Oryzias latipes: one gene and its partners. Each later gene encodes a partner of the first gene's protein in a complex. Links are inferred from orthologs where the notes say so. Each region holds a gene or a part of one and is shown in the gene's direction. Other genes may lie near its edges.

Region 1 (7,910 bases):
TAGCAGTTATTAGCTCCAGTGAGAAGGCACCAGCAGTAAATCTAACCTTAAAGTCATCTCTAACGTCTGAAGTTTAGAAAATGACTTTTCCCATCTTCCCCACTGCATTTTTCTAAACATTTGTCTTTTCTTAGGGTTTCTTTGCAGAATTTCTGTTTAGCCCCCAACTTTCCCTTACTGCCCCCCAAATGTGTGTCCTTATTTCTGCATGGCTGACTTTTTGGACTGCTGCTAAACAGGAAGTGATGAAGACGAGGTGTTCCTCTTCTGAAGATAAGTGTCTACATGACTTTGTAATAAAACGCTTCAACATCCTAAAGGCCTTTTTTGTTTTGTTTTTTGTTGACTCTTTACAATTTCACTTCCAAATTCAAGAATATTTTCATGACATGACCTTTCCCTGCATCTCAAATACAAACTTTATAACCCAATATTTTAATTATTTAGGAAAGAAACAAAAACAAACTAAATATTTACAACTTCCCATTCCTCCTAAAGCCAAGGAAGTCCACTTTAAACCAATTCCAAGGAATTACTAAGAAAACGGTTTGGAATTCCTGAAAACTGTTCTTTTTGTTATGAAGATATTGAAACAACTGAGAATCTTTTCTTTGAATGTTTTTACTCTCATGGCTTTTGGGACAATATACATTATTGGCTCTTCCCTAAAATTACATGTTTAGCAGACTTTTCTATTAAGGATATCATTTTGGGGTTTATTTAAAAAACCAATCATTTTAAATGTTGTAATTATTTTGGGTAGATTCTATACACAAATATCGATTCCTTAACATCAATCCATACTTTTTTACATTTCATGAAGAACTCTGATCTTTTTCTTCTGTAAACATCATCATGGAAAATAAACTTGCTATGGAACTCCTAAGTATCATGATTTCATAATTTACAGCTTTTTGATAATCCCTAAATTCATGATCATTGCAATGCCCGTGGATATCCCCTTTATTTTATTTTAATCCGTCTTATTTAAGTTTGTATTTTATTTCTTTATTGTTTTTTGTATTTGTTTTTACTTAACTTTATTAACGTTGTTAACTTTTTTCTATATCTGTGTAACCGAGCGATGGGGGAGGTTCAATAATCATTCACTCTGTGGTCATAAACGACACGGGACAACAGGTCCGCCATTTAGTGGATCCGCTCACCAATTCTTTATTCTTCTTCTTCTACTCTCCCAAATTTAACTTGCCACGCCCCCTGGTCTCTAGGGTAACCCGGGAGGGACACACCTCTCCCAAAATAAAAGATCCAGGAAGTTGGTTACATACGTCCACCCTTTCAAAAGAAATGTCCTCATTTCTACAATTTCTACAGGAAATGCAACAGGCCGGGGAGTGCAAAAAAATAAATAAAATAAATGAATTAAGAAATAAACATTCGAGACCCAATATGGCGTCAACAAAAGTCAACCAAACAGGAACAACATGAGTTTACAGAACCCACCGGCAAATTTCCCACCACAGGAGGGAGAGGAAAAAAAAAAATCTGAATAATAATACAACATTGCCTGCCAACCAACAGCATATTATTCAACAGAATCTTTCAAGGAAGGAAAACACAACAACATATGACAGTCTCCTCACAACACCAACAAAAATTTCACTGTGACATAACTCTGTATTGTTACATCCTAATAAAGTCCTGATAACGTGTTGGAGCACGCACCATTCTGCCACTGCGGGAGTGTGCAGGGGCTGTCCCAAACGCGTCCCTCTGACCCTGTTGGGGTGGATCACCATTATCTGGGGGGTCCAATGAAGTACCCGCCGAAGGAGAGGATGATGGCGGGGTGGACATACTGTCGTTTGGGGAACCAGCAGGCAGGGGAAGAGTGTAACGTTTTAACCTGTCATGATGAACAACCTGGGCCCGCTCAGACATATCCAGGGGGTTGACAATGCGATATGTCAAAGCGGCCTCTGCACCTGAAGCCAGAACCCGATCCACACGATAGGGACCTTTCCAGTGCGGTGCTAGTTTTGTGCGGCCCTCTGTTGGGTTATTAAGCCAGACCAGAGCACCCTCTGTAAAGCCCTTGTGGTGAGAGTTCTCATCATGGTACAGTTTCTGTTTCTCCTGCGCCTCTGCTGCATTAACCCTCGCTGCACTGAAAGCAATCTCCAGCCGCTCCACAAGAGACGACGCGTATAAAGGCAGCGTGGCTGCACTGCCAATGCCACCAACCCCACTAGGAATGAGAACCTCTGCCGGGGTCCGGGCTTCGCGCCCGTGCATAAGATAAAAGGGAGTAAACCGTGTGCTGGTGTGCTTGGAGATGTTGTAAGCAAAAGCAACAGATTTCAAATGGTCATCCCATTCCCCCCCCATGGGACAACAACATCTTGGCCAGCTGGTCAATTAGGGTAACCCGGGAGGGACACACCTCTCCCAAAATAAAAGATCCAGGAAGTTGGTTACATCTGTTTTAATTGTGGTTTGACACTTTATACAGCTGCCACAATATTGTAAACCTCAAATGTTTTTTCCAAACGAAAAACAATTGCTCTTCCGCCTGATAAACCTGGTCGCCTGCTGATGACGTAAGCAGAGCGACACGTGGAGCGCTGTTAGTAGCTAGCAAAGCGGTTACCCCCCTTTTGCGGAGACTACCGATTCGTTTTGAAGACAGACACGACCGTCATGGCCGCTGCTGGGACACCGGGCAGGAGAAGACTCCTGAAGGAGGAGGACATGACCAAGGTGGAGTTTGAAACCAGTGAAGAGGTGGATGTCACCCCTACCTTCGACACCATGGGGCTCCGTGAGGACCTGCTCCGGGGAATCTACGCCTACGGTAGGCCGGTGGATTCGAGAGGCCTCCGCCTCCAGATGCTAAGCCTAAATCCGCTGTGTGGTTCAGTTCACCTTAAAAAAGGAATGAAAACGTAGTTGGTATCAGACTACATCCCGTAATAACTTACATTAAAGCGGGTAGATTGGTGTGACCTGATCATTTTGTCGTTGGCGGGAAGAAAAACTTCATCTTTTTAGCCTTCATGCTAGCATGCTAAGGCCGCGTGCGGCCGCGCTGACATGAAATTAGTTTAAATTCGTGTTGATTATTTACTAAACGAAAACCAGATACTAAAATTTGCGGGTTTCGTTCAGTAATGCCTGGACACGATCTTTGTTGGTATTGTTGCTCGTAACAGTCATGATCCAGGAGTTAGACGGTTCCCATCCTATATGGCTTCGTATATGTAGCGAATATTTTACTAATTTCCCCCAGAACTATTAATAAATATATGTCAACACTTCTGTCTTAATGTGTATTTTAATTTTGTTTCTGTTCATGTGTTCTGTCTTCTCCAGACGGCAGAACATTTTATGAACATATTATCTGGACCCAAAAGGACGGGAGAAATCCCAATAGACAGAATCGATCAGATTTGTATCTACAGTAATATTGAAGTGTTGCACTGATAAAGATGAATTCTCTACATTTTCCTGGACTATTGTGCTTGAGAGGATCCTTCTTTACCCCTAAAACCCAGTTTCTCCATAGAAATCCTTTCTGTGGGACTAAAACTTTTCTTTCTGGTCAGCATCACCAGAACTTCCCACTTTGGTCCCCCTCAGTTTGAGCAGCATGGGAACTTCTCAGATGAGGTTTCTCTATGTGGAAATGAAGATGGACAGCACCTGACCAGGTTCTGGTTCTGTTACAGGTTTCGAGAAGCCTTCAGCCATTCAGCAGAGAGCCATCAAGCAGATCATCAAAGGCAGAGATGTCATCGCTCAGTAAGTCTGGGCTGGAAAACATGCAGGTGCTCTGGTCCTCCATGCTGTAACGTGTGATCTGTGCTGCATTCAGGTCCCAGTCTGGAACAGGAAAGACGGCCACTTTCTGTATTTCCGTCCTGCAGTGTCTGGACATCCAGGTGAGTTCTTGCTGTTCTTGTGTCCCGTGACAGACGGGCCAGAACCCGTTTGCAGCTCGGTGGTGATGCTGTTCCTTCTGCAGGTCAGGGAGACCCAGGCTCTAATTCTTGCTCCAACCAGAGAGCTGGCCGGACAGATTCAGAAGGTAGCCCCGCCTCCACCGCCATGTTCAGCCAAAGGCTTGTAAGGTAGAGGCGGCGGTGCCAGTCACGGTGTCCTGTGTGCAGGTGCTGCTGGCTCTGGGAGACTACATGAACGTTCAGTGTCACGCCTGCATCGGAGGAACCAACGTGGGCGAGGACATTCGCAAGCTGGACTACGGCCAGCACGTGGTAGCTGGCACCCCTGGACGGGTTTTTGGTGGGTTCAATGGGTTTTATGGCAAAAGTGGCACAAACGGGAATGCTGACGGCGTCTCTTTACAGACATGATTCGGCGCCGCAGTCTCAGGACCAGAGCTATCAAGATGCTGGTGTTGGATGAAGCTGATGAGATGCTGAACAAAGGTGAGGTCCTCTGCTGTTCAGCGTCTTCTGTACCTGCAAAGCAGCTCTGTCTGAGCTGAAAGCTCACCTGCTGGTCATCAGAATAACTCTGGCACCTTTGGTTACGTCTGAAATGTGTTGAAGGAGCAGGAAGGGTTGGTCCTTCCAGGTTGGAACCACCTGTTCCAGACACACTTGAAGGTCACCTTTCCTTTCAGTGGTCGTGTTTTCGGCTTAATGTGTCAGATTTGAAAAGTCCATTTGACGCCATCGGGCCGCGATGTCACCACTTCCTGTTTAGGACGTTTAAAGCAACACTTCAGTGAATTTTAACGGTGACATGGAGATGTTCTAAGTGAAGGTTAGGAAGAACCTTCAGCAGAATCTTCAGCAGAACCGCTAGCAGGGTCAGAACTTTAAATTCATGTCTGTAGTGTTGCTAGTGTCACTGCAGAGAATGGTTTCAGATTTCTGCTTTAACATTCCAGATTCGTGGGGGAGCAGAGCTTTTGGGGGGTGGGGGTGGTGGTCTCTGTAGCGCATGGGGAGGTCTTCATCTCACCACCACACATCTTTGCTTGGCTGTTGGTGTTTTTGCTCTTCGTCGCCATCAGATCTTTTTCATTCTAGAATCCTGGACGGATTTTTCTACGAAGGCTTGAACTTTAAGAGAAAAGTCTGGAAATGTTGACAGCTAGCTTGTGGATTTCACCTGTGGCCGGTTATTTTAGAAGGCAACTCCCGCGATGGGAATGCTGTAGTTGAGTTCCGGCGTGACTGCACTTCCTGAATGACCCTGGTCAGTCAAAGCCGCCGTCATGGCTGAAGTTCTGGCAGACCGTCCTAAACTACGAGCTCTCTGAGAGGTTTGGGGCCGGCCTCAGAGACGGAGATGCTTCTGGGTCTCAGGGACCAAAAATCAGGAGCAGCCTTTCTCCGGTTTGGAGCACCTGACATCTCTGAGACTTCATTTTCAGTCTCTGACAGCAGAAACAAACCAATGTGTTTTTTCCTTCTGCTTCCTTGTTTCCATCATTTCTGCTTCTTCCTGGTCTAATCTTCAATAATAGGCTCATGATTGGACAGAGTTTGGTTATTGGTCACCTAAATCACTTCCTGTTTGTGGCGTAAGGACACGATGGCGTCAGTCATGTGACCATCTGGGTAGTCACAGCCGCTGCTTTGTCTTTGGCAGGATTTAAGGAGCAGATCTATGATGTGTACCGCTACCTGCCTCCAGCCACGCAAGTGGTCCTGATCAGCGCCACGCTGCCACACGAGATCCTGGAGATGACCAACAAGTTCATGACCGACCCCATCCGCATTCTGGTCAAACGGTGAGTCCGCCGATGAGCTCTGAAGCGGTGGGCTTCCAGCAGCAGTGAGTGACCGGCATTTGTCTCTGCCTCAGTGATGAGCTGACCTTGGAGGGCATCAAGCAGTTCTTTGTAGCCGTGGAGAGGGAGGAGTGGAAGTTCGACACTCTGTGTGACCTGTACGACACTCTGACCATCACACAGGCGGTCATCTTCTGCAACACCAAGAGAAAGGTTGGTGCACACACATCGGCTTTACACTGAAACCCGAGTCCAGGAAAGACCAGCAGAGGTCAACATCCAAGCGTCTGGGCGAGCGTTTGTCTCATGAAGCAAATGTCCATAAAGGGGACCGGGCTCAGGGTTTGGTTATCGTCCACATGAGCTCAGTCCCTGTAAATGTCCTCCAGTCGTTCTGAACAGAGTCTTGTCTTTATGTTGGAAAAACAAACACAATGATCAGGGTTTGTAAACTACCAGACTTCCATCGGTGAGTGAAAACACTGGTCCTGCGGAAGCAGCAATGCTTTGTGGGTAACGGATTCAAGCGCGTTGTTGCAGGTGGACTGGCTGACAGAGAAGATGAGAGAGGCCAACTTCACGGTGTCGTCGATGCACGGAGACATGCCGCAGAAGGAACGAGAGTCCATCATGAAGGAGTTCCGATCTGGAGCCAGGTAAGTCCAGAAGGGGGCTCAAGCTACCCCCACCCTCCCCAAGTTACTAACCCCCACCCTAAACTAGAACTAGAATAATAAACAGTCTTTGGGGTTCTTCAAGTTGATCAGTGAATGCCTGGTTAAAACCATCGCACTAGTACCCGCCCACTGAAACCGCTTTCTGTCCGTGTTTTAGTCGCGTCCTGATCTCCACCGATGTCTGGGCTCGAGGTTTGGACGTCCCACAGGTGTCGCTGATCATCAACTACGACCTGCCCAACAACAGAGAGCTCTACATCCACAGGTACACACGCCACACCTGGGACAGGGTTCCCATTCTACACCAGGGATCCAAACAGTTTTGTATGTTTGTTGAATCGTCCTCCAGGATTGGTCGCTCTGGCCGGTATGGCAGAAAAGGTGTGGCCATCAACTTTGTGAAGAACGATGACATCAGGATCCTGCGAGACATCGAGCAGTACTACTCCACCCAGATTGACGAGATGCCCATGAACGGTAAGTCTTTTGTTTCCCATGATACACTGCACTCAGACTGACTCCGCCCTTCAAGAGTTTAGGGGCGGGGTTTTTCTATCTTGGTTGACCTTCAGACTGTAAAGCTCACCGTTTAAATTTCGGTTGTTCCGTTTCTCCACCGGTGTCTGTGGTGTAAAATCGTCTCCAGACGGTTATCGTGAATTCTTGGGGGGTCGTAGTTCGTTGTACTCTGGTCTCCTTCACCGGGGGAGGAAAATTCCTGCCAACTGCTTTCATCTGTTGAAGTCACGTGATTGATTTACGATTTGTTCTTGTCTCTGCAGTGGCTGATTTGATCTGATGGATGACTCGGTGGCCCCACCCCTTTTCTCCATTTTTACCTTTTTCTGTAGCTACCAGTAACCTTACCTGTGCGGTGACAGTTTTGTAAATAAAGTTGTTTTGGTTAAACATTTCTCATGTCGATGATGCCTCATTTTCATTGTTTTGGGGTAATTAATCGACAGATGCACAGATTTTTATTTATTCTATTTTTATTTCTACATTTTTTGCACAAATGGGTAAAAACAGAATCCCTGGATTTATTAAAAAAAAAAAAAAAACGGTTAAACTGGGTCAGACGACACAGACGAGTTCAAACTAAAAAGAATCCATTGTCAGGGCAACCAGCTGGGGGGGGGGGGGGGGGTGTTACAGACAAGATGGCGCCCCCAACATTAGCCGCGTTTACATGACCAAAAGTAATCAGAACGCCTGATCGGAAAGAAAATGCGTCATGTAAACGCGCCGTTCGGAATACTCTGCCCCGATCAGACTCATTCGGATCAGAATTTCTTTCCGATCGAGATAGGTGGGTTATACCGATCGTTTATCCGATCGTGGAGCATGTGAACGGTCATTCCGATCGTGTGTCACTGCTGCTCTGGGTTACGTCACGCATAGATGGTGTTTGGCTCTGCGGACGCCCTGTGAAAAGCGCCGCTCCGCTCTCGCCCCGCTGGCTCTCCCCTCTCTTTTCCTCTTTTCCCTCCCTCTCGCTTCGTGCCCCC
Region 2 (7,943 bases), on another chromosome or scaffold:
ACGGGATAAGGTTTGGAGAAGGAGGGATGTACCTGAGCTCCTGCAGGGGTTCTGGACCTGATGGTACCTGCTGTCAGACAGCTGCGTCCTTTTATAGCGGCTGAGGATGAGTTAATCATGGCTGTGCAGACTTTAATCACTTCCAGCATTCAGAAGAGTCGACACGAGAACAATCACTGCTCCGGCTGGACCTTGAAGCTTGATTGCTGCGACAGCAAACATACAAAGTCCACGCCGACTGATTGAGTGGGAAAGAAATTATTCATGACGTTCTGGTCGCTCTGACTCAGTGACTCAAGCTTAGAAAAACCTGAACTTTTGATTCCATGTTTGATTAAATCTGAAGATACACTCAAAGTTCAAACTTCTGATCAGGTTAACTGAATATTGAAAACTGCAGTTTACTTGATCTATTTGTTTGCACTTTACTGTCCATCATTTGGGTTCTTTTTAAAAGTAGATCTTTTAATCATGCAAGATGTGTGTTCTCTTTATTTGATTGTGATTCGGCCAAACAGGCATGTAGAATCAAATATTTTTAAGAAAGGTTTAAAAAAATGCTTAAAAAACAGGTTTCCACAAATCTCTTAGAGTTTTGATGTTCTAACTCATAAACGGTATACTCTCAGCTTTTTTCAGGGTTTGAAATCTGATTTTTTTTATACCAGCTCAAGTATTTTTGATTAAATCGGAAAAATAAAGAGTATTTTATAGTAAATCGACACAGACTTTCATTTATTTTATATAACAATTAAAAACACATAAAAACTCACGAGAACTAAAAAATCAAAATACTAGAGTGGAGACTGAAAACAAAACAAAAAATACTTGTTAGATTTTAATCCCTCTTTCACATGTTTCTATTTTAGGATTGCTTATATTTTTTTTACTTTTTTATTACTGTTTTGGATCTGATAACTTTCTAACTGGTTAATTAAAAACCAAGATAGATTAGAGACAGAGCCGAGTGAAGTGAAAAATATTTTCTGACTGAGCTTTTTTTTTGTATTCCACTGAAAAATCTCGATTTTCTGGATATCCTGGAAAGAATGAGAACCGGGGACAGACAATTAATCTAAAAGATGAAGCCACTTTTGCTTGTCTATAAAATAAAATATTGGAGGGAGGACAGTGACTTTTAGAGTAGAAGTTGTAGTATTAGGATCTGTTGCCAAAGTTTTTACTTTTCAGACATGGAAGCAAAATTAACAAAAGACAAAAATAAAGAGATTGGAAAAAGGAAGGAAATAGCTATGAAGTTGGCATTTAATCAAAAAAAGCAGATTTACTCTTTTATTCTTATTTTATTTCAATTGCTTTCTTTTGTCCTGTTTGTGGATTTCCGACATTGGTCTTTTGCATTTCCGGGTTGAACACGTGTTCCCTCCTTTATCAATCAGCTGCTGATAAGCTCATTGATGAACCAGTGCATATGTGTTCATGCTCCTCAAAGTCATTTGTTTTATGTTTTCATTTATCGTTCACAAGTTTAGAAATCACCAATAAAATGACTTTATAATTACTCAATGAATCCCAATGTTTCTTGAAAGTCCTGTCTTTGTGTGCACACTTTTCTTTGTTGCTTTGTCACTGCAGCATGCAAGGTTGTGCATTGTGGCATCGCTATGGTAACCTGCATATCTTTTGTGGTTTCGCACCCATATTGTACTCCAGGAACAAAGAAGTGATCACAAAGAAAAATCGTATTCCTCTCCGACAGATGTTTGAAATGTGTTGCTTTGTGGAGCATCTCAGAGACGGCGTTTGTGAGTTTCTGGAGTCTGCTGTGCTTTGTGTGGAGTTTTCCTTTTCTCAAAGCACACTGAAACTGTGAAAATCTTTATGCAGCCACGGATGAATCTGCCGTCCTTTGTTTGTTTGTTGGGAAGTCTTGTGATGATTGGTAGCGGGCTGAATGGGTGTGCGTCTTCATCTGGAATGATGATTGACCCGCAGAGATTCTGCACAGCTCTACAGGTTCTGGTATGTGGCTGCGTGATAACACAAACAACAACTTGCTAGCACAACAGTTCAACATCCACTAGGCTAAAGGTCAGGTCAGCTTTAATATCTTCTTACAAAGTGGTAAGAAACCCTTCAATCTACTGTGGACTAGCTACACACAAAATCAAACGGAATTTTAACTTGACAGATTTATACTTTAAATCCAAAATTGTTGTGATCATAATCTGTTTTTGACAGAATGGCGTTCGGGCTAAATTTTATTTTTTTTGTTTCTTTTGCACCACAACAGTTCTGCATGAATGGATTTAAGCTGGCGGACTGGATCATGTGACGGACCACTCTGCTTTTTTTTTTTTTTTTCAGGAAAATCCTGATAAACGTTAAACCTTTGAATGCAACACTTTCATTTAGGGGGTTTTGTGTATTTGGAATAATTGTTGTGTGTAGTTAAAATAGTTTTAGGCTTTTTTAAAGTTTTACTGTAGTTTCGTTTGAAATTTTTCTTGGGTATTTTAACTGTTTTAGGTTTTTATTATTATTATTTGTTTATATGCATGACAGTTGTTAAGATTTTTTTTTTTTTAATCATTCCTCCTCCTGATAAAAAAATAGATGATGGTAAAAACTATTTCACCCAGAAAGCTGAAGTTCTGACTGTAGCAATGAAAATAATATTACAATTAATTAAGTAATGATTAATCTAATAAATATGTAAACAGTCGTGTAAATCACAAATATTGTATCAATCACAAATATAAACTTCTGTGAAACTCTTGAAGTTTGCAGACAACACTACAGTCAAATGCCTTACATGTGCAGTCATGCTCTTATTAGTAATAAAGATGATTCTGATTCTAAAACCTTGACATCAATATTAACACAGAATGTACTAATAATAATTATGATAGAAATTGCAACTCTAATATTAATAACAAGTATAGTCACAATTTTAATAATAGAAATGCTATCCCTTGCAGTATAATAAAGTATTTTAAATCATATTTTTGTTGTGTGAATGTTGACACTAATGTTTAAAACAAATGTATACATTTCTCATTGTTCTCATTATATCAGTGATGACACTAAATATAATACCAAGATAACAACAATTTTCAATTCTTGAAAATATATGGCATGGAAATTTTAACAATGCTATTAATAACAAATATATCATTAATTATATTGCATTAAATTGTCCACACTAAAGTATAAAAAATCATGATTATTTATTAATATCATGATTGAGTAAGTAAGTAAATTTTATTTGCATAGCACCTTTCACAGACAAAGATCACAGGTTAAAATATATATATATATATATATATATATATATATATATATATATACATATAAAAACATAAAAGATAAAAAGCACAAACCACGTAAAACAATCATCTCAAGCCCAATGAAAGCAGTTTCAGTTAAAATGCTTTGCAAAAATAAAAAGTTTTCATGATGATAAATGTAAATTATTTCATAAGGGATAAATTAGAAATCATGATTATTAAAACATAAATTATCGTTTAATATTATGCATTTTTACCAGTAACACATGTGATATTAATCATGAATATTATAATAAAACTCTGCACTAAAAATTAATAACAAAAATTTCATTTTCAAATAAAAACTCATTATTAATCTTATTATTATATTTGACTAATTTTATATTAATAAATGCAAATTTTCTTCATCTCCTATTTTTTCCCTGTGTTATTAATCAAACAAATTTAAATGTATCTCAGTAACATCTCCAAAAGTCTTAATCAGAAAGCTGCATGTTTGTATGAAAGTTGTTGAAATCTGAATGTTTTTTTTTATCTAAAACTCCTGTAATATGTATGCTACCCTGGCATATCTGAAGTTTACTTAGCAAAATTGTGTTTTGTATTAAACTTACTTACGTTTTGTACAATAAAGTTTAAAAAAAAATCTTTACGGAAGTTACGTACTCAGACTCTTTAGTGATTCTCCGTGCGCATGCGCTGTTCGTACTCAGTCAAACAGACATCATGGCGGACGTGTTGGACCTTCATGAGGCGGGAGGAGAAGACTTTCCTATGGATGAGGATGGTGACGGTATTGCGTTGTTTTACACAATTAGAGGCGGACGCACCGCAGTCCTGCCAGCCAAATAATGAAATTCAAATAGCCGCACGTGCGGTCAGAATCACGCTCAGCCCAGACTGCGTGTTTGTTAGCGGGCCGCAGCCGTGTTAGCATCCAGCTAACTCAACGAAAGGCGGTCATTCATCCACTTAGCGAGCCTCTCAGCGGGGGTGCAGCCGTCTGTGTTTGCGAGGGCCGCTTTTAAAATGTTAATTATTTAAACGGACTGTATTTTTCTCTGCACGTTAAAGCTGTTTTGTTTTCTATTAAGCTAGCGCTAGCATCCATGTTAGCCAACGGCTACATGCTGTTAGTGTTGCGCAGATGAGAGAAAAAACGTCGATTTAAAAATTGCACATTGTTCCTAAAAAAACAACCCAAAAACACATATAGTTACTCCATTTGAGAACTTCATAAACTAAACTCTTGTGAATTAAAGGAAACTGAAAACGGCGTCCTTAGGCTTTTATTCGTCTGTTTGCAGAAAGCATCCACAAGTTAAAGGAGAAAGCCAAGAAGAGGAAAGGACGAGGTTTTGGTGCAGGTGAGCTTTCAAAGCATTTTTCCCTTTATTTTTCTTGACTTCTTAGGGTTTGGTTTTGATTCTAAGTTTTTGATTCCAGATGATGGGGCCCGGTCCAGAGCCAAAGAGGACTATGATACTGTGGAACAGGACGGAGATGAGCCTGGGCCTCAGAGATGTAGGTGTTACAAGTGACCTTCATGTTCAGATAGAAGCAAATTAACAAGCTGTAGTCACACTTAGATTGTAAAAAATCTAAGATCTTTGTGTGTATTTTTTTTTATTTTATTTATTTAATTTGATTATAGAATAAATGGTCAATGTTGTGCTTTTCTACCTTTACTAAGCCACTAAGGGCTTGAAAGTCCCAGTCCCATGCACAGTCACAGCCTGTAACCCCCACGAGCGTTGTGGGGTTTAAGTGTCTTGCCCAAAAGACACGTCCACACATGGGCAGGCAAGGCAGGAACTGAACTTTTGATTGAAGGTCTACCTCTGCATCACAGCTGCAGATAACTAATTTAATTTAACCTAAAGTTCATTGTTTAAAAGTTATAAATCAGTTTCACGGCTGCGTTTTAATTTTGACCTATGCAAAAACTAAAAAACTGCTCTGAAACAATGCAGACTTTTACTTTTGAAACTGCGTGAATGCCAGCAGGTCAGGTAAACTCATCTGCTTGTCTTGGTGTGGAGACTGGGGGGTTTGGGTGTCTGATGCCCTGTTCCCTCCCCTCTCTGCAGCTGTAGAAGGCTGGATCCTGTTTGTGACGGGCGTGCACGAGGAGGCCACAGAGGAAGACATCCACGATAAGTTCTCAGAGTTTGGGGAAATCAAGAACCTCCATCTTAATCTGGATCGCAGAACTGGCTATCTGAAGGTGAGTTTAAACCATTTCCTTTTTCTTTGAACACATTTTGTATTTTAAAGACACAACATTTGGATGTCAAATGTTGCTTATGTTCCAATGAACATCTAAGCGGAAGAAGTGAATATTTGATCAACATTAAAAACAAGCATTTAGGCAGTAATTATCAGAGGGAAGGATGGAAGTCATCATATTAATGATGTGGAAGATTTCATTCAGTAGGATTTAATCATATATTTTATAATACTTGTAGAAAAGAAAGTTGGTTGCTAAAATAAGGCTGTTGTGTTCTCAGAACAGTTGCGTGAAGGGGTTAAGAGAGAGCCTGGACTGCCCTTTTGTAGCAGCACTTTAGTTTCTGTGAAGTGAAGCTGATATTTAAGAACAGTCGTATGAAAAACAAACTATTTCGGCTTTATTATTACTGAGGGATTTTCTTTCCGTCTTATTGGTGTTTGGCCGCCACTAAAGGCTAAAATGCTCAGTGTTGAGTCTTTGACTTTTCCACCAAAATAAAAGCTTTGGCATAATTCTGGTCTAACTGCACGACACAAAAATGGATGAGAAAAGCATTTGGGGGGCCGTGAGAAGAAGAGGGTTGACCTTTCTGCAGTTTGTTACTTCACGGTCTGCTCAGTGAAGGAGGAAACCGTCTGACATCTGCACTTTGTGATCAGAACTGTATTATAATAATTGTCAGATTTCAAAGGGTTGTTTTTCAGTTTTAAAACGAGTCTGAGGATACTTAAAGCCTGACTGTCACTGTATTTTCACTCAAAAAAAATATGTTTTTCTCTTTTGGTGCAGTGTTTTTCAACCAGTTTATAACTGGAAAAAAATTCCATTTCACCTAATTGGGCTAAAAAAATGTTTTCCGTTAGCAGGATATCAGTTCTGTGTTCATCCGAACAGACCCGGCTTTTCCACTGGAGTATTTAGAAATGTCTGCTTTGGTTTTATTGGTTTAGTTTAGTTTGTCATTTGCATTGTTTACCTAACATACAGTATAAACAATTAATTAAAAAAATAGGCAGAAGCATATGAAGCTTATTATATGCCTGTCCTTCAATGTCCAAGTTAATCAGTTTAACAAACCAAAAAGTAGGAAACAGTCCTTAATAAATGGAGACAAGTAAACAAAGTCCTTCTACATCTGTGTTTTGTAACCTTTAATATGTTTTAGACTTTTTTTCTTTTAACTGAGAATTACGTCATTTTAATTCATCGCTCAATTCCTTCCATTATTTCACGTCAAGAACTGAAACACATCTTGTCTTGACATTAGATCGAACATTAAACCTGTTCAAAATGAGAAAGACCCCTTAAATTATACTGACCAACTCTTCAATAGTCTGTCTTTTTTGGAACTAAATTACGTTTAACTCTATAAACAATTTCTAATACTTTACTGTAAACAATATCCTTTATTTCTAAACGTTTAGTTAAACTAAATTAGGCCTGCACACTAAATCGCAAATTTGTCGTTAACCCAATATCATTCAGTCATCTTCTATACCCTTTTTTGTCCCTGTCGGGGTCACGGGGCTGCTGGAGCCTATCCCGGCCACTTGTGGGTAAAGGCAGGGGTACACCTGGACAGGCCGCCAGCCTGTTGCACATCACACACCCATTCACACTCACAGCTAGGGACAATTTAAAGTAACCTATTAACCTATGAAACGTGTTTTTGGACGGTGGGTGGAAGCCGGAGTCCCTTGAGAAAATTCACACATGGCACGGGGAAAACATGCAAACTCCACACAGAAAGGTCCCCCATTGGGGTTCTGGTTCAGATCCCCCAGCCGGGACCTGAACCAGGAACCTTCTTGTTGTGAGGCACGAGCGCTAACCAGATCGCTGACGCAATAACAAATTTTGCAATGCCCCTTTGCTAAAGGTTGGCTAAATGTCTGATAAATGGTAACCTTAAATGTGCTAAAACAATATTATGGCAGCTTGAAGTAACAAATCAAATAAATCCTTTTATGCGTTAAGATTGACCAATGGGATGGGGCCCTTTTATGTTAGATGCTCACCTGCTATGTAGACAAGGGTCATTTGGAGTAAATAGGATTTCAGTTATGTTAAATGTAAAATAAACTGTTGCAGTGAAATGGAAATCATGGTTTTGGTTGTTCGTGTATCGCAAGTTAAATCGTCATCGCAATATTAATCACTTGTATCGCAAATCACGAGTTTTCCTCACATTGCGCAGCCATAAACTAAATAATGATTCAATGATAGTTTCTCCTGCATTTCCCCAAATATCTGCACAATATGAAAGATACGGGACAACTATTGATCAGTAAATAACATACAAGCTCTGTTCAATGCATCTCTGGTTTTGAACAGTCATTGATAAAAGATCTTAAATAAAATAAATGTATGTTTGTGTTCATTTGATTCTTAGTCAAGATACTTTGATAAGAATGACTGTGTATGTTTTTGATTTAGAAACTGACATAGCACGTTCAGTA
Region 3 (5,900 bases), on another chromosome or scaffold:
TTCCTGAAATTTGGAATGTTTTTATACAATCGCGTCCAGCAGGCAGCGGTAACCGAAATAAACTCTATTTCCCACAATCCTTTGGGGTTTCCGGTTCCAGCTTGTTCGGAGTTCTAAGATGGCGGACCGGCGGCGACGGAGGAGGCGCGCGTCCCAGGACAGCGAGGACGAGTCCGGGTCCGGGTCCGGTTCGGACAGTGGCAGGTCGGGATCGCCGGCTACGAAGGCGCGAGGGCGGGACGTGGTTCCGGAGGAGCCGGTGGAGGCCCGGCGGGAGGAGGCGAAGAAGAGCGACGTGGAGTCCGAGTGTGTGAGTAGCTGCGCCGGCTAACCCGGGAGCTAACGGCGGCTCCGGGAGGCGGCCGGCGGCGGTGACCCGGCCCGCTGCCCGGTGGGCCGGACCGGACTGGCAGCGGGGAAACGGTGGGGTGGGGGGTCATTCACGCCGTAGAGCAACCGCTTCCGGTTTACAACTCCCTTCAAGCTGCTCAAACTCTGAGAATGTCCGTTAATTTGAGTCGCGCGCGCCGCAGAGGGCTGGGGAGGGAGGGAGGGAGGGAGGGGGGGGGTCTGCACTGAACCCGGCAGAGGGCTTCCAGGGTCCTGGCCGGCTTTAGTCCGGTTCTGCTGGGTTCCGTGGGGCAGGTCCCGCTATGAGTCACCAGATAAGAAGCGGAACCGGGTTTCTGCTGCTTTGGGTCCAGTCACACGGACTCGAACCTGAGCCCAGAGGAAGCTGCTATGTTGGGGATTTGAACCTGCATCTCTGCTCCAAACATACACACGGCGCTCCTGCTGGCTGCATCACGTGACCAGAGATGGATCAGACGCAGGGTGGACTGCAGATCGGAACCAGCCTTCATATCGGCCCACATCCTGGACCACGTGATACATTCTGACCCCCCCCCCCCCCCCCCCCCCCCCCCCCCGTTCAGCAGCTGGCTTACATACACAGATGGGGGCGGGGCTACCTGGCCAGCACCAAAGGCACCTGAGGTTTCAGTTCCCGCCCAAACACAGACAGACCCCCCCCTTCCCCCGATGGGCTGTATGTGGGCACTGGAGTGAGCGATGATGCGTTCACACAACGCCGTTCTCGTGTCTCCTCCGTGTCGGACGCCTGTCCTGGAACGTCTTCATCTAGAGCAGTGTCTTTCAACCAGTGTGCCGTGGGAAATTGCCCTCATTCACTGATCTAAAAACATTTTCCATCTCCAGGATTTCAGCTCTGTGTTCATCCAAACATCCTGATAAAACACTGAGGAGTTAGGAATATGAAAGATCATAAAATACTTTTTTTTGCGTTTATTTTATTTTATTAAAGACATTTTGATAAGAATGACGCGATTCAGCTGCACCTTCGGCTGTATTTTGGAAAAGTCCCGCCCCTTTAACTGTCTTCACCAATCATTCTTGGGGGGCTTAATCACATGTCATCAGTCTGACCAATCAGAAGTGGTTAAAGTCTTCACTTCCGTGTTCTTAATTCTGCTCATAAAGTCACTCAGTTCTAACAAAAATACCAGCTAAAGCTCGTCTTTAGCGGTGTAGCTTTCCACAGAATCCGGTATCAGACCGTGGAACAAGTGAACAAAACCATGAAGCTCCGAAAAGCGATCTTTGGCCGTTTTATGCACTACATCTCCCATGATGCATTGGGTTGTGAGAGTGACGGTGCACAGGGAGATCTGTTGTTAAACGTCTTGAAACCAACGAACACACAAACTATTTTTAAATCTTCTAACTTAACTTTTATTGCATCTTTTAGAAAAAACAGCTGCAGTTTCCAGCTTTTTCTGCAACAACTATCTCAAAAATGCATGTGAGATTGTGGAGGGAGGGGCTGTAGATCAATACAGACTATGAGATTCTCCTTTTTTTTATTTTAATTTTTGGATGCTGGTGGGCCGCGGGATTTTTTTTAAGGTTAAAATGTGCCGTGGCTCAGAAAAGGTTGAAAAACACTGGTCTAGAGGCTCCAGCGGCGAGTGGGAGGAGCTACTGTTAAAGGACCTGGATGATGTTTGGAGAGCTCAGCGTTAGTAATCCCGCCTCCACGTCTGCGTTCATGACATCTCCGTGGTGCGGCGAGCTTCACCGTCTGCTTTATGGCGGCGCTTCCAGCGCTCCTGTCTCCGTTTGACGACTTCCTGTCAACATTTTATGTCGTCTCCATGAAACCGACATCCTGATGTTCAGGACAGCAGATCCTCCAGAAATCAGACATTTATCGTCATTTCCAGCTGTGCAACACGTAGATCGCAAAAGACGGCCAAAAGGTCAACAAATGATGACCTTAATCCATTTGACCAATCAGATGTTAGATGGTCAGCTCCTTTGGATCCCATTCAAACTGAGCGGCAGTGAAATGATCTCTCTAGACTCCGCCCACTGATTACATCATCAGCACATCACGGGCCAAAGCGAAGGTCCTGATTGGTTGATGCTCCATGTGCTGCTGTCAGACGGTCAAAGCGGTTTGATGAGAAGCCTTCATCTCTGTTTGCTGCAGTGAGGAAGAGGAGGATTGTTTCCAATGGACTTTGTTTGTTTTTTTGCAGGAGAGCGAGGATGAAGCTGAAGGTAACTCGCCCGTCCCTCACTTACGTGGTTACACCGCCACCCTCTGATGTTTGTCTGTCCCCCCCCAGCTGTGCTCTCAGACTATGACAGCGCCGAGCCTGAGGAGAACGGCTCCCCGTCAGAGGTACCCCCCCACACTCTAGGCTGATTTCCACTGGGCCGTCTGCGCTCCCTCCGCAGTCCGTCTGCAGTCCATTTCAAAATAAAACGACGACATTTGTTGCACGCTGTTAACACGGCGGATAACAGCGGCGTCCGTTTTTGCCACGGACGTCATCTATGACCCAAACATGGGTCGTAGGACCCGGCGCCAGCACGAGGCCCACCTGCTCTATACAGGCAGGACAAACCACTCCTCCTGAAGCCATTGGGGAGGGGGCAGACGGACTCCCCGCACCGGAGGCGCCGCAGACGGACCGGTGGAAACCGGCGTCCGGCCGCGGCCTGAAGTCTCAGGCGTTCTGAACAGACGTGTCTTCCAGGGAGCCGAGGAGGAAGCGGAGGGTTACAGCGAGGAAGAGGCTGTGGAGGCCGGCGAGTCCAAACCGTCTGCTGCGGTGGGGGAGGGCGGGCAGGAGGGGGAGGTAGAGGGGGAGGGGGACCACGAGAAAGAGGAAGGCAAAGCCGAAGAGAAGGGAAACCTGGCCGGGGAGAGGCAGAGCGGCGACGGACAGGTGAGGAGGTTCCTGTGTTCCTCAAGGTCCAGTTCAGGCCAGAACCCCCACGGTTCTGTGTTCTTCCCCTGGCCCGGTAGGAATCCACGGACCACCCCGAGACCAAGGCGGCAGGAAAACCGGGCCAGCAGCTGGACGACGACGAGGACCGGAAAAACCCCGCCTACATCCCCAGAAAGGGGCTGTTCTTCGAGCACGATGTCCGAGGACCCGCCCAGGAGGATGAGAGGTACGGCCCCCGGTCCGGTTCCCCGCCCCCCAGAACCGACTGCAGCTGCTTTTCCCTCCGCAGGCCCAAGGGGCGGAACAGGAAGCTGTGGAAGGACGAAGGCCGCTGGGAGCACGACCGCTTCAGGGAGGAGGAGCAAGCGCCCAAGAGCCGCGAGGAGCTCATCGCCATCTACGGCTACGACATCCGGAACGGCGCCGGGCCCGCCTACAGGCAGCGCCAGCCCAGGTGGGCTGACGCCACGTGTCTGGTTCTTCAGGCTCCGCCCCCCCTGTGCTTCATCTACCTGTTGGGTTTGTCTGCAGGCAGAACACGTCGCAGGGGAGGGACAAACGCTGGAGGGAGGGGGCGGAGCGACCCGCCCGATCCTGGCAGAACCGGACAGGAGGAGCTCCGCCCTCATCTGTCCCGCCCCCCTCCGCTTTCCCCCCTCTCTCTGCCGCTCAGCGCAACCACACCTCCAGAGCCCCCCCGTCCCGGAACAGACCCCCCCACCACAGTCAAGCTCACCCCCCCCCTCCGCCCAGGAACGAAGACGCTCCTCACAGGGAGCGGCAGGTGACCAAGACTCTGCCGGAGCCTGCAGGGGAGAGGGGCGGAGCCAGCAGAGGGGGGCGGGGTGCTGGAAAGGCCGGCTCCTCAGTGTTGGGGGAGGACGTTTCTCCGGACGGCGCCACAGAACCGCCACAGGACTCGAGTTCTGCAGTGCTGCTGCAGACGAGCAGGTTCCGGTCCGCCTCCCCCCGTCGGCAGGACACCAGGCCTTCTGCCCCCCCCCACGGCCCCCAGGCATCTTCAGGTGGCTCCAACCCCGACGCCTCCCCTCCCCCCGAGCGGCCGGTGGAGAGGAAGTCCTACTCTCTGGCCCGCAGGACCCGGTCCCGGCCCGCCGACCTCGGCAGCAAACAGACCTCCGTGGAGGAGTCTGCAGCGGGTGGGAGCGCCTCCCCCAGCAGTGGGGGGGGTAAGGGCTGGATAGGAGGAGGGGAGGGGGCAAGTCAGACGGGGGGAGGAACCTCGGAGCTGGACCAAGACGTGGCCCGCCTCAGTCTGTCTGGACCAAACTGGAGTCAGAACCCGGCGTCGTACGTCCGCTCCGAGGTCAGAGGTGAGCCCCCCCCGGACAAGTGAAGGCAGCTGTCTGTGGGGTGGGGGGCACAGGTGTAGTTCCTCACCCATGTTTCTGCTCACAGGCCTAGGAAACCCCGTGCACCTCCCTAATGCACCCCCCCAGTTCTCCAGCATGGACGACCTGGGCGGCGGCGCCGGTCGAGCCAAACGCTACTCCTCCCAGCGCCAGAGGGCGGTGCCAGAGCCAGCCCCGCCCATGCACCTGGGGGTCATGGAGGGACACTTCTACGAGCCCAGTAAGAGCTGAAGCCGTTTCTTTGGGGATGGGGGACAGCTGCACCTCCTTCAACCCCCCAGTAGGGGTCACTGCAGGACTGCCATGGGGAACTGCTTTAGGTTCTGGCCCGGTTCTGCATCTTCTGACCCCTTTCTCTGCGTCCACAGTGTCATATCAGGGACCAATCTACACCCACAGTGATGGCCCCGCCCCTATCCCGCCACAAAGCATGCTGGTCCAGCCCGAGATGCACCTCCCACATCCTGGTGAGTTCTTTGGTTTGACATTCATTTTAAATGCTTCTTCATGTTGAAGCTCCGCCCCCTGCAGGACTTCATCCCCATCAATCAGGCGGCCCCATCGCTAACCCCACCCTCTACGGAGCCCCCCCTGTGTCGCTGTCACCAGGACAACCGCAGCAGCTACTGCCCCCACCTTTTTACCCTCCTCCTGGGGTAATGACCTTCCCCTACCCCACCATGTACCCCACCCCCCAGGTAAGTCCCACTGATGGTAGTAGCCTTTTGAGGGGGGGCCGGCTCTGAACCATGTGGTGGATATTGCAGGGTCAGGCCCAGGTGACCTACGGGGGCGTGACGTACTACGACACCATGCAGCAGCAGGCCCAGCCCAAGCCCTCGCCCCCCCGCCGCACGTCCCAGCCCGTCACGGTCAAACCGCCCCCCCCGGAGGTTCCCTTCGCCTCAGAGTGAGCCTGCCCCCAGCCTCAGCCCCCACCCTGGCGTGAACCTTACAGGTGAGTTTCTGGTGCTGCCTTCACTGTCCTGTTGGAGCTTTCATCACTCTCCACTCTTTCAGGAGGAGCCAGGGGGGGGGGAGTGGCCTGAACCAACACCGTAAGGAGGCGGGGCCAGAACACCGGGAGGGAGTGACCATCATCACAGCTGGATGGCTGATTTCCCACAATCCCCTCTGACAGTGTCATCGGGACGACTTGGACTCGACAGGCAGGAGAGTCCCCCCCCCTCCCCCCATGACCGTCAGCTGGTGAATACAGGACGCACCTGAATGCAGCCCTGAGTGCGTTTGCAGTCGGCGTGGAGCT
Region 4 (7,237 bases), on another chromosome or scaffold:
CAAAAGACTGTTGCATTGATGGGAGATAGATAGTCAAATATAAAAATGTTGTGATTTTTTTCTTCTTCTTTTTAAATGCTTTTAAGTTGTGTTGTGAAAGAAGATTTTATGTTTTCCGTTCACTATACAGGAGATTGACTATTTTTCTGCCTCCTTTTCTTTTAGTGATGGACTCTTCAGATAAAAGCCAAAGTCCCACTCCTCAAAATGAACCACCTAGAGGTGAGTAAAACACTGCCAGAACAATAGTGTAGTAATCAAATGTCGGCATCAGTTGATTTGATATCAAATTGTTATTTGGGTCTGTTCTGGATGTACAGCAGGTGACGAATCCAATCCAGCTGATGGGAGACTCCAACAAGTTAGTGCAGAGGAGGAAAGCACCAAAGAGCAGCAGTCTCCACAAAGAAAGTCTCCAATGTCCAGGAACTCATCCAAGAGCCCCAACTCTAGCAGCTCAGACAGCAGCAGCAGTGAAGATGAACATCATGGTGCACTAAGGAAGATACGGAGTAGTGTTGCTGAAATCAAAGTGAGTTATTTCATATACGTACTGTTTTACAATCAACTTCCAAAAATTTGAATATCATAACAATAGTATGTTCATTTCCATAATTGCATTAAAAAATACACTTTAATAGAATCTAATCTCATGTCCCTTTGTTTAATTAATTTCGCGTATTTATTTGATTTTTTTATTTATTTATTTATTTTGCATAAATTAGGATTCCAGCTTATGAAACCCACAAAAAACAGGATTTCAAAAAAAATTGGAATACTATGGAAATATTTTCCTAAATTTAGCTAGCATGAATGTTTTAAATTGGGTTTCATCAACTAATCACCTACTAAAATCAAGGTTCAATATGGGGAAGACTTTAGACTTCACAACTGGCCAGAAGACCGTCATTGATCCCTCCATAGTCTGGGTAATCAGTCACCAACGTTCCTAGCTAAGGAAGCTGGCTGTTCACAGCTGTCCAAGCAGATCACTGGAAAGTTCAATGGAAGGGTAAAATGTGGCAAGAGAAGATGCAGGAGCAAAAGAGACAACCGTGGGCTTCAGCGGATTATCAAAAGATTAAAGAAGCTCCAGAAATCCAGAAAGAGTGGAATGGGGGGGAGGAACAGCTTTAAGAACCACTACACTCAGACGCATGTGGGAGATGGGCTACAACTGTCGGGTTCCTCGGGTTAAACCACTTCTGAGCCTGGACAAACGGAGGAAACATTTCAATGGGGCCAAAATGAAGAAGGACTGGACTGTTGGCCAGCGGTCCACGGTCCTGTTTTGTTATGAGAGATAAGTGTGCCGTTTATTTGGACTGGTGAGGAGCAGAACCCAAACTGCTAGGGGTCCAGTGTGAAATCTCCACAGTCAGTCCTGATTTGGGCTGCAATTTCCAGCACTGGTGTTGGAAAACTCTGATTTCCGTCTAGCAGAATGTTCTAGAGCAGCGGTCCCCAAACCCCCGGGTCGCGGACTGGTACCGGTCCGTGAGTCATTTGTTAACGGGCCGTGGAGGAAGAAAAAAAAAAGAAGCTTGCATTACTTCCGTTTTATTTATTTCCGAATCTGAAAGATGTTTTATATTGAAAAATTGCCCGATTATCTGTTTTATCCGTTTATGTCACTCTTGATGCAGGCCGAGGCGCTCTTCTCGATCATGTGATAGGTTACAGCTAAAATAAAACCCAGGATCTAGCAAAATGAGTAAAAACAAACGTCTGTGGAAAGTTTCTTTGCCAAGGGGAAAACACCCAGCCTGGGAACAGAAGAGGAGCCTTCCACTTCCAAAAAAAGAAGGCTACATTTAGTAGACAGTACTTCTTTTTTTTTTGCACCATGAATGTGGGAAGGGGAGAGGATGATGACACCTGTACGATGTCATGCGTGTAAAAATAAAAGCTCAGGCTTCGTCTTGCCATGACTCTGGTACTTGTTTATCATGGCATAGCGACCATAATCATCTGTCTACAAGTTTCAAGACGGGTCCTAGGAACCTTTCTGTGACGTCATACCGGTCCGTGGCATTAAAAACGTTGGGGACCACTGTTCTAGAAGACTTCATGATTCCTCCTGCTGAGGATCTGGATGGAGACGCAGATTTCATCTTCCAGCAGGACTTAGACCCCGCCCATATCGCTACAAGCTCCAAAGCCTGGTTTGATGCTCGTCTGGCCTGCCAACTCGATAAACCTAAAGGCCATTGAAAATGTATGGGGTCAAACAAAAAAAGAGCTGACGGCAGCATCAAGAAAATCTGGGCTCCCATAACGCCACAAGCTGATTGCATCAATGTCACAGTGCATCAAGGCAGTTGTTAAGGCTAAGGGATTCCCAACCTAGCAATGAAGATCGACATATCATTTTGAAAATACATTATTTTAATGGATTTCATGTGATCATGACCTCCGTCTTTATCTTCTTGCAAAAGGGGAGATTTCCCCACAGTACCGTATTCAGATTTTCTGAAATCTTGTTTTTGTGGGTTTTATGAGCTGGAACTCCAATTAATCCCCAAACAAATACACTTGAAATCAATTAAATGGTGGGCCCCAAACCTTTACACTATAAAAGTTCAATTTTTTGAAATGAATTATGGAAATTAATACTCTTTTCCATGTAGAAAGTGTCTGTTTTGAATATACTATTTAAGACTCCTTAAAGGAGAAAAAAAGAAGAAAAAACTTCAACTTTTAATGATAATTTTCCACTTGTCTTTCTTAGTTTAAAAAAAGAGTCAACATAAATAAACTATTGAAATTAACTTCTCTGTTTAAATATATTACATTGTGCTGTTAATCCTAAAGACTTGGAAAATCATGTTTTATCTGTCTGGCTTTTCAAAATCAGATGCATCTGGAATTTAAATGTGTGAAGTCTGTCATTAACTTTTTTATTTTGTAAAGGTTTCTTCTTGAATGTCTGAGTGTCCTTATTATATACTTGTCTTAATTCATTTCAAAGCTTTTTTTCTTTTTCTAATGATCAAAATGTCCTCTTTTTTTCTGATGTCACACTATTATCAGTTTAAAGAGTACACTGTGCCCCAGAAAAGCTTTATGTACTGTAGACATTTGCACATCCACTATTTTTACATTGTTGATTTAAAGTCTTCAGGTTTCATGAATGAAAACTGACCACCATTTAGTTTAAACAAACTCGCAGAGAAAGCTGCCAAAAAAGATGCAATATCATTTCCATCTGCCATCATCTGAATCTTAGTTAAGCATTTCTGCCATCATGAGCATCATTTTAATAGATACCTTGACTTTGTGACTAAATACAACATATTTTATCTGATGTTAAATTCTTTTAAATACTACTTGTAATTAATAATTTCAGATTAAAAAAAAATAGCATCTTAATTGAGATTTCAGGCAGAGGGAAATTAGCTTTTTTTTTATTGAAGAAAGGCACCCCAGGATATCTGAGCAAAAACTGGAGTACTGATTGAGACAATAACAAATGAAAGAAGACTTTGTGGCAATGACTGTTTTCTGAGAGACGAGCTCTCCAGTTACCTGCAGGCTCTTATTTAAAGCAGACGGATGTAGACAGACGATGGACTGCAGAGTTGCTTCCGTCACTCAACTGAACTAAAGCTTGGAAGCAAAAAAATGTCTTTTTTTAATCAATAGAAATGGAATATTTGTTTTTTTAGATTGATTTGTAATGGTAACCCAAAAGCTCACATAGTTGCATGATGTGAACAGCTTAAGTTGGCAGTCTTGATTAACTGTCCTATGTTTGTGTCTTTCAGAGACCGGAGTTGAAAGAGCAAGCAAGGTCCAGATCCAGGGAAAAGGACAACTCCAGATCCAGATCCAGATCCAGATCCAAGTCGGGTGAGAAAGACCAACCCCGGTCCAGGGAGAGAGAAAGATCTCAGTCCAGGGGTCGTGATAGATCCAGATCCAGATCAAGATCCAGGGGAAGAGACGGATCGAGGTCCAGAAGACGGGACAGATCCAGGTCCAAATCTAGAGACCGGAACCCAGACCGTTCTAACAGAAGATATTATGCTCGGTAACTGTTAGACACACACCAACACTGTCTGATTTCATCCTATTTCTTTTAAATAGAAGGAAAAACTTCTTTGAATTTCATTAAGCAGCTGTGGATTTATATGTTAGGGTACCCTAGTTTAGAATTATCTTATTTTAAATCAAAGGTTTGTCATAATTATTTTTACTCTTAGATGTTCTTTTTTTTGCTGGATTTATCATTTTTTTCCCCATGTTTATTTGTAGACCTAACTTTTTTTTGGGTCAAAATTATTTTTGTAAAGTCTTTTAACATATTTAAATCCACTCTTTAGAACTAATGTTGAACAGATTGGACGAACGTGAGTCTCAAGAAATCGAACCTTTCACGGGTTTGACACAAAACCTTTTGAATATTTTTGATTTTCAGGGATCGCTACCAGGATCAACGCGACGATAGAAATGGACGCTTTGATTGGCGAGGCAACAGGGATATGGAGTCCGGTGAGAGGAGGCGGGGCCGCTCCGCTTCTCCTTCCAATGACAAGGAGCCAGATTCTGCCGAAAAGCCTCCCGTTAAGAAGAAAAAGGAGGAGATTGATCCGATCCTGACCAGGACCGGGGGTGCTTACATTCCCCCTGCCAAGCTGCGCATGATGCAGCAACAAATCACTGACAAGAGCAGGTGAGACAGAGATTAAGACCTTTTATTTAACTAAAGGTATGAACCCATTCTGGAACTTTCCATTTTAGTGGCAGGTTTTTATCAAGCTATTCACCATTTTTACGTTTTATTAGCAGCTTCAGATCACTTATTATTTCATTTATTTGTCTGTTCAGCAGCTGAAGTCAGTTTATTAGCCAGTTGATTAACTCGTTGCCTGCCTGTACAGCCTGGCCTATCAGAGGATGAGCTGGGAGGCTCTGAAGAAGTCCATCAACGGTTTGATCAACAAAGTCAACGTGTCCAACATCGTCAACATCATCCAGGAGCTCCTACACGAAAATATCGTCAGAGGGAGGTGAGCTTATGGTCAGATAAAAAACACTGCACATAACTTCTGAAAAACCTCAGTAACAACTGAGGCTAATATACGATATTCTGCTTTGAAGAACAGTTTCCGTTGCTTTTATTAAGTCATTTTTATTTATCAAATAATTTAAAAAACTAGAATGTAGGCCTGCAAAATAAATCGCAAATCAATTATTATACAATACGCATATCGCAAAAGACGGCGAAAAATTGCAATAAATGGTTCCCTTCAATGTGCTCAAACAGTCCTATGACACCTTAAAGTATTTAACGAATCAAATAAATCCATTTCTGCATTTGACCTCTCAGATGGACCCTTTACAACATTGACCAATCAGATGGAGGCCTTTTATGTTAGATGTTCGCCTCTTATGTAGGCGGGGGTCATTTGGAGTGTAATTTAAGTTATGTTGACTCTTATTTAAATTAATCTCTTTCAGTGAAATGGAAATTATGTTTTTAGTTGTTTTGCTATATGTTGATTTATCGCAAGTTATATCCTCATCGCAAAACTGATCACTAATATCGCAAATCGCCAGTTTTCCTCATAACGTGCAGCCCTTTTTGAATGTTATTTCTAAGTTTTCCTATAGGAGTCAAACATCTGGACCTGATGTGTGTGTTTTAAGTCCCAAAGCTCCTGTGTGACGCCTCCTTTCTGTGTGTGTTTCTGTCAGGGGTTTGCTGGCTCGATCGGTGCTGCAAGCTCAGGCAGCTTCTCCCATCTTCACTCACGTCTACGCTGCTGTGGTTGCCATCATCAACTCAAAGTTCCCTCAGATTGGAGAGCTGATCCTCAAACGCCTCATCCTGACCTTCAGACGGAGCTACCGCCGCAACCTCAAGGTGTCTCTGTCGTTTCTGCTGAGTCATGCATCATCTTCATCAGATAGTAGAGACGCTGTGTGTGCTTCCCATCTGAAGGGCTACTAAGCAAAACGTGTTCCTGTAGCTCATCTTTAGCTCTGAATTATTTGATTGTTTTGAATCTCTGATTTCAACTGCATGTGAAAAATTATCATATTTTTATCATCTTTTGATCTATTTGCAAAGCGTCCCCCTGGTCTTTTAATTAAATATTGTGCAGTTTTTTGACCAAAAGCAAAAAACCTGTCGTTTTCTAGGACATAGTTTCTGCAGAGCAGTGATAGTTCAATAGAAATATGCCTCAGAGTTGTGGGTGTTACGGTTGGCGTGGAGCAACGCCGCCCCCTTTCCCCTCCTTGTTGCTGAGAGCTTGAAGCAGGAGGCTTATGGCCCGCCCAGCGCATTTGCTACGTCACAAATGTTCTCTTTTTCAAACAGCATTTTTTTCATCTGCTCCTGATTCATGTTGATTTGAATAAAGAGACACTCAGAAATGCAATTTTAAGCTTAATTTTTTTGTATGTGCCCTCCGTCATAAAAAAATGCCACAAGAACATATTAAAAACACTAAAAATATAATTTTCATCGGAGTGGGTCTTCAAGACTTCATTGCAGTTGATCCTAAATTTAAAACAATTATCATGAATTACACAGTAACATAAGGTAAATCCCTGTTTTGGAGTCTTTCTTTAACTCAACATTGCATTAATTCTTTTTAGAGTGTTTTTTTTGTTATTTGATCCATTATTTTAAGTTGTTTTCATTTAAAAAAGATGAAAGCATCATAGTATGAAATTCTGAATAAAATTCAGGTTTGATTGGATTGTTCTTTGTTTATTATTTTGTGCCTGCATACATTACCTTTTTGGCCAAATTTCTTACAAAATGATGTTCCTTCTGTTGAGGACAGAGCAGTCATGCTGCATCCACATGCTTGAGGAAAGATAGGTGTCGTTGCACAGTTTCTTCTGTTATAAATCCATTTAACTTGAAAAACAATATTTTATTCACCTCCGTCATCGATCCTGAAGTAAAGGCAAACTACAGAAATGTCCTTCTTCTGCCTAGAGAGGAAGCATTGTTTTTTAAAGCAGGATCAGTGGAAGTCTAAACGTAACCGTTTAATCTTTATTTAGATAAGTGGAAAGCTGCCAGTATGAACAGACGGAGGCCAAACTGAGTCCAAAGTAATGAAGCAGCAGAAACTGGACCAAAACAAAAAGGAAAAAACTGGCAGAACTTGGAGCATTTTTCAATGTGTTAAAGTGTCTCTCAATTCCGTTCAAGAGTTAATGGAGGAAAATGAAGTACCATTAAATGTTGAGTTTCTTGATTCTTCTGTTGTGT

Evidence for each region.
Region 2: eif4a3 (region 1) and rbm8a share a complex: the UniProt entries of both Homo sapiens proteins name them as parts of the ALYREF/THOC4-EJC-RNA complex. The link is inferred for Oryzias latipes from reciprocal best matches to the Homo sapiens genes EIF4A3 and RBM8A.
Region 3: the proteins of eif4a3 (region 1) and casc3 are in contact, whole or in part, in a crystal structure (PDB 2J0U), measured with the Homo sapiens proteins. The link is inferred for Oryzias latipes from reciprocal best matches to the Homo sapiens genes EIF4A3 and CASC3. Residues at the interface, in NP_055555.1 of Homo sapiens: Thr178, Arg179, Lys198, Ile201, Tyr202, Tyr205, Arg206, Tyr207, Leu208, Pro209, Pro210, Thr212, Lys231, Phe232; in NP_031385.2 of Homo sapiens: Arg217, Trp218, Glu219, His220, Asp221, Lys222, Phe223, Glu225.
Region 4: the proteins of eif4a3 (region 1) and cwc22 are in contact, whole or in part, in a crystal structure (PDB 4C9B), measured with the Homo sapiens proteins. The link is inferred for Oryzias latipes from reciprocal best matches to the Homo sapiens genes EIF4A3 and CWC22. Residues at the interface, in NP_055555.1 of Homo sapiens: Met43, Gly44, Ile72, Ile73, Lys74, Gly75, Gln98, Cys99, Met183, Gln213, Val256, Ala257, Glu259, Trp263, Asp266, Thr267, Asp270, Leu271, Tyr272, Asp273, Thr274, Leu275, Thr276, Ile277, Thr278, Gln279, Ala300, Asn301, Phe302, Thr303; in NP_001362958.1 of Homo sapiens: Thr129, Gly130, Gly131, Ala132, Tyr133, Pro135, Pro136, Ala137, Lys138, Arg140, Lys164, Asn167, Gly168, Ile170, Asn171, Lys172, Val173, Asn174, Ser176, Asn177, Ile180, Ile181, Glu184, Ala207, Ser208, Ile210, Phe211, Tyr215, Lys330, Arg331.

The regions. Positions count from the first base shown.
Region 1 is NC_019859.2:155,639-163,548, reverse strand, and holds eif4a3 (eukaryotic initiation factor 4A-III), read left to right. Parts: upstream 1-2,558; 5' UTR 2,559-2,661; coding exon 2,662-2,815; intron 2,816-3,689; coding exon 3,690-3,762; intron 3,763-3,835; coding exon 3,836-3,902; intron 3,903-3,985; coding exon 3,986-4,048; intron 4,049-4,130; coding exon 4,131-4,263; intron 4,264-4,328; coding exon 4,329-4,409; intron 4,410-5,583; coding exon 5,584-5,725; intron 5,726-5,799; coding exon 5,800-5,938; intron 5,939-6,265; coding exon 6,266-6,381; intron 6,382-6,559; coding exon 6,560-6,667; intron 6,668-6,751; coding exon 6,752-6,920; 3' UTR 6,921-7,184; coding exon of another isoform or gene 7,185-7,201; 3' UTR 7,202-7,315; downstream 7,316-7,910. UniProt on the Homo sapiens protein: ATP-dependent RNA helicase. Involved in pre-mRNA splicing as component of the spliceosome. Core component of the splicing-dependent multiprotein exon junction complex (EJC) deposited at splice junctions on mRNAs.
Region 2 is NC_019874.2:29,124,081-29,132,023, forward strand, and holds the start of rbm8a (RNA-binding protein 8A), read left to right. Parts: upstream 1-3,969; 5' UTR 3,970-3,977; coding exon 3,978-4,038; coding exon of another isoform or gene 4,039-4,044; intron 4,045-4,558; coding exon 4,559-4,618; intron 4,619-4,697; coding exon 4,698-4,775; intron 4,776-5,341; coding exon 5,342-5,478; intron 5,479-7,943.
Region 3 is NC_019866.2:502,585-508,484, reverse strand, and holds part of casc3 (protein CASC3), read left to right. Parts: 5' UTR 1-118; coding exon 119-310; intron 311-2,561; coding exon 2,562-2,583; intron 2,584-2,651; coding exon 2,652-2,707; intron 2,708-3,065; coding exon 3,066-3,257; intron 3,258-3,337; coding exon 3,338-3,486; intron 3,487-3,549; coding exon 3,550-3,714; intron 3,715-3,791; coding exon 3,792-4,594; intron 4,595-4,679; coding exon 4,680-4,853; intron 4,854-5,001; coding exon 5,002-5,100; intron 5,101-5,149; coding exon 5,150-5,331; intron 5,332-5,400; coding exon 5,401-5,547; 3' UTR 5,548-5,591; intron 5,592-5,653; 3' UTR 5,654-5,900. UniProt on the Homo sapiens protein: Required for pre-mRNA splicing as component of the spliceosome. Core component of the splicing-dependent multiprotein exon junction complex (EJC) deposited at splice junctions on mRNAs.
Region 4 is NC_019879.2:6,698,300-6,705,536, reverse strand, and holds part of cwc22 (pre-mRNA-splicing factor CWC22 homolog), read left to right. Parts: intron 1-165; 5' UTR 166-167; coding exon 168-222; intron 223-320; coding exon 321-532; intron 533-3,767; coding exon 3,768-4,033; intron 4,034-4,420; coding exon 4,421-4,675; intron 4,676-4,883; coding exon 4,884-5,012; intron 5,013-5,700; coding exon 5,701-5,869; intron 5,870-7,237. UniProt on the Homo sapiens protein: Required for pre-mRNA splicing as component of the spliceosome. As a component of the minor spliceosome, involved in the splicing of U12-type introns in pre-mRNAs. Promotes exon-junction complex (EJC) assembly.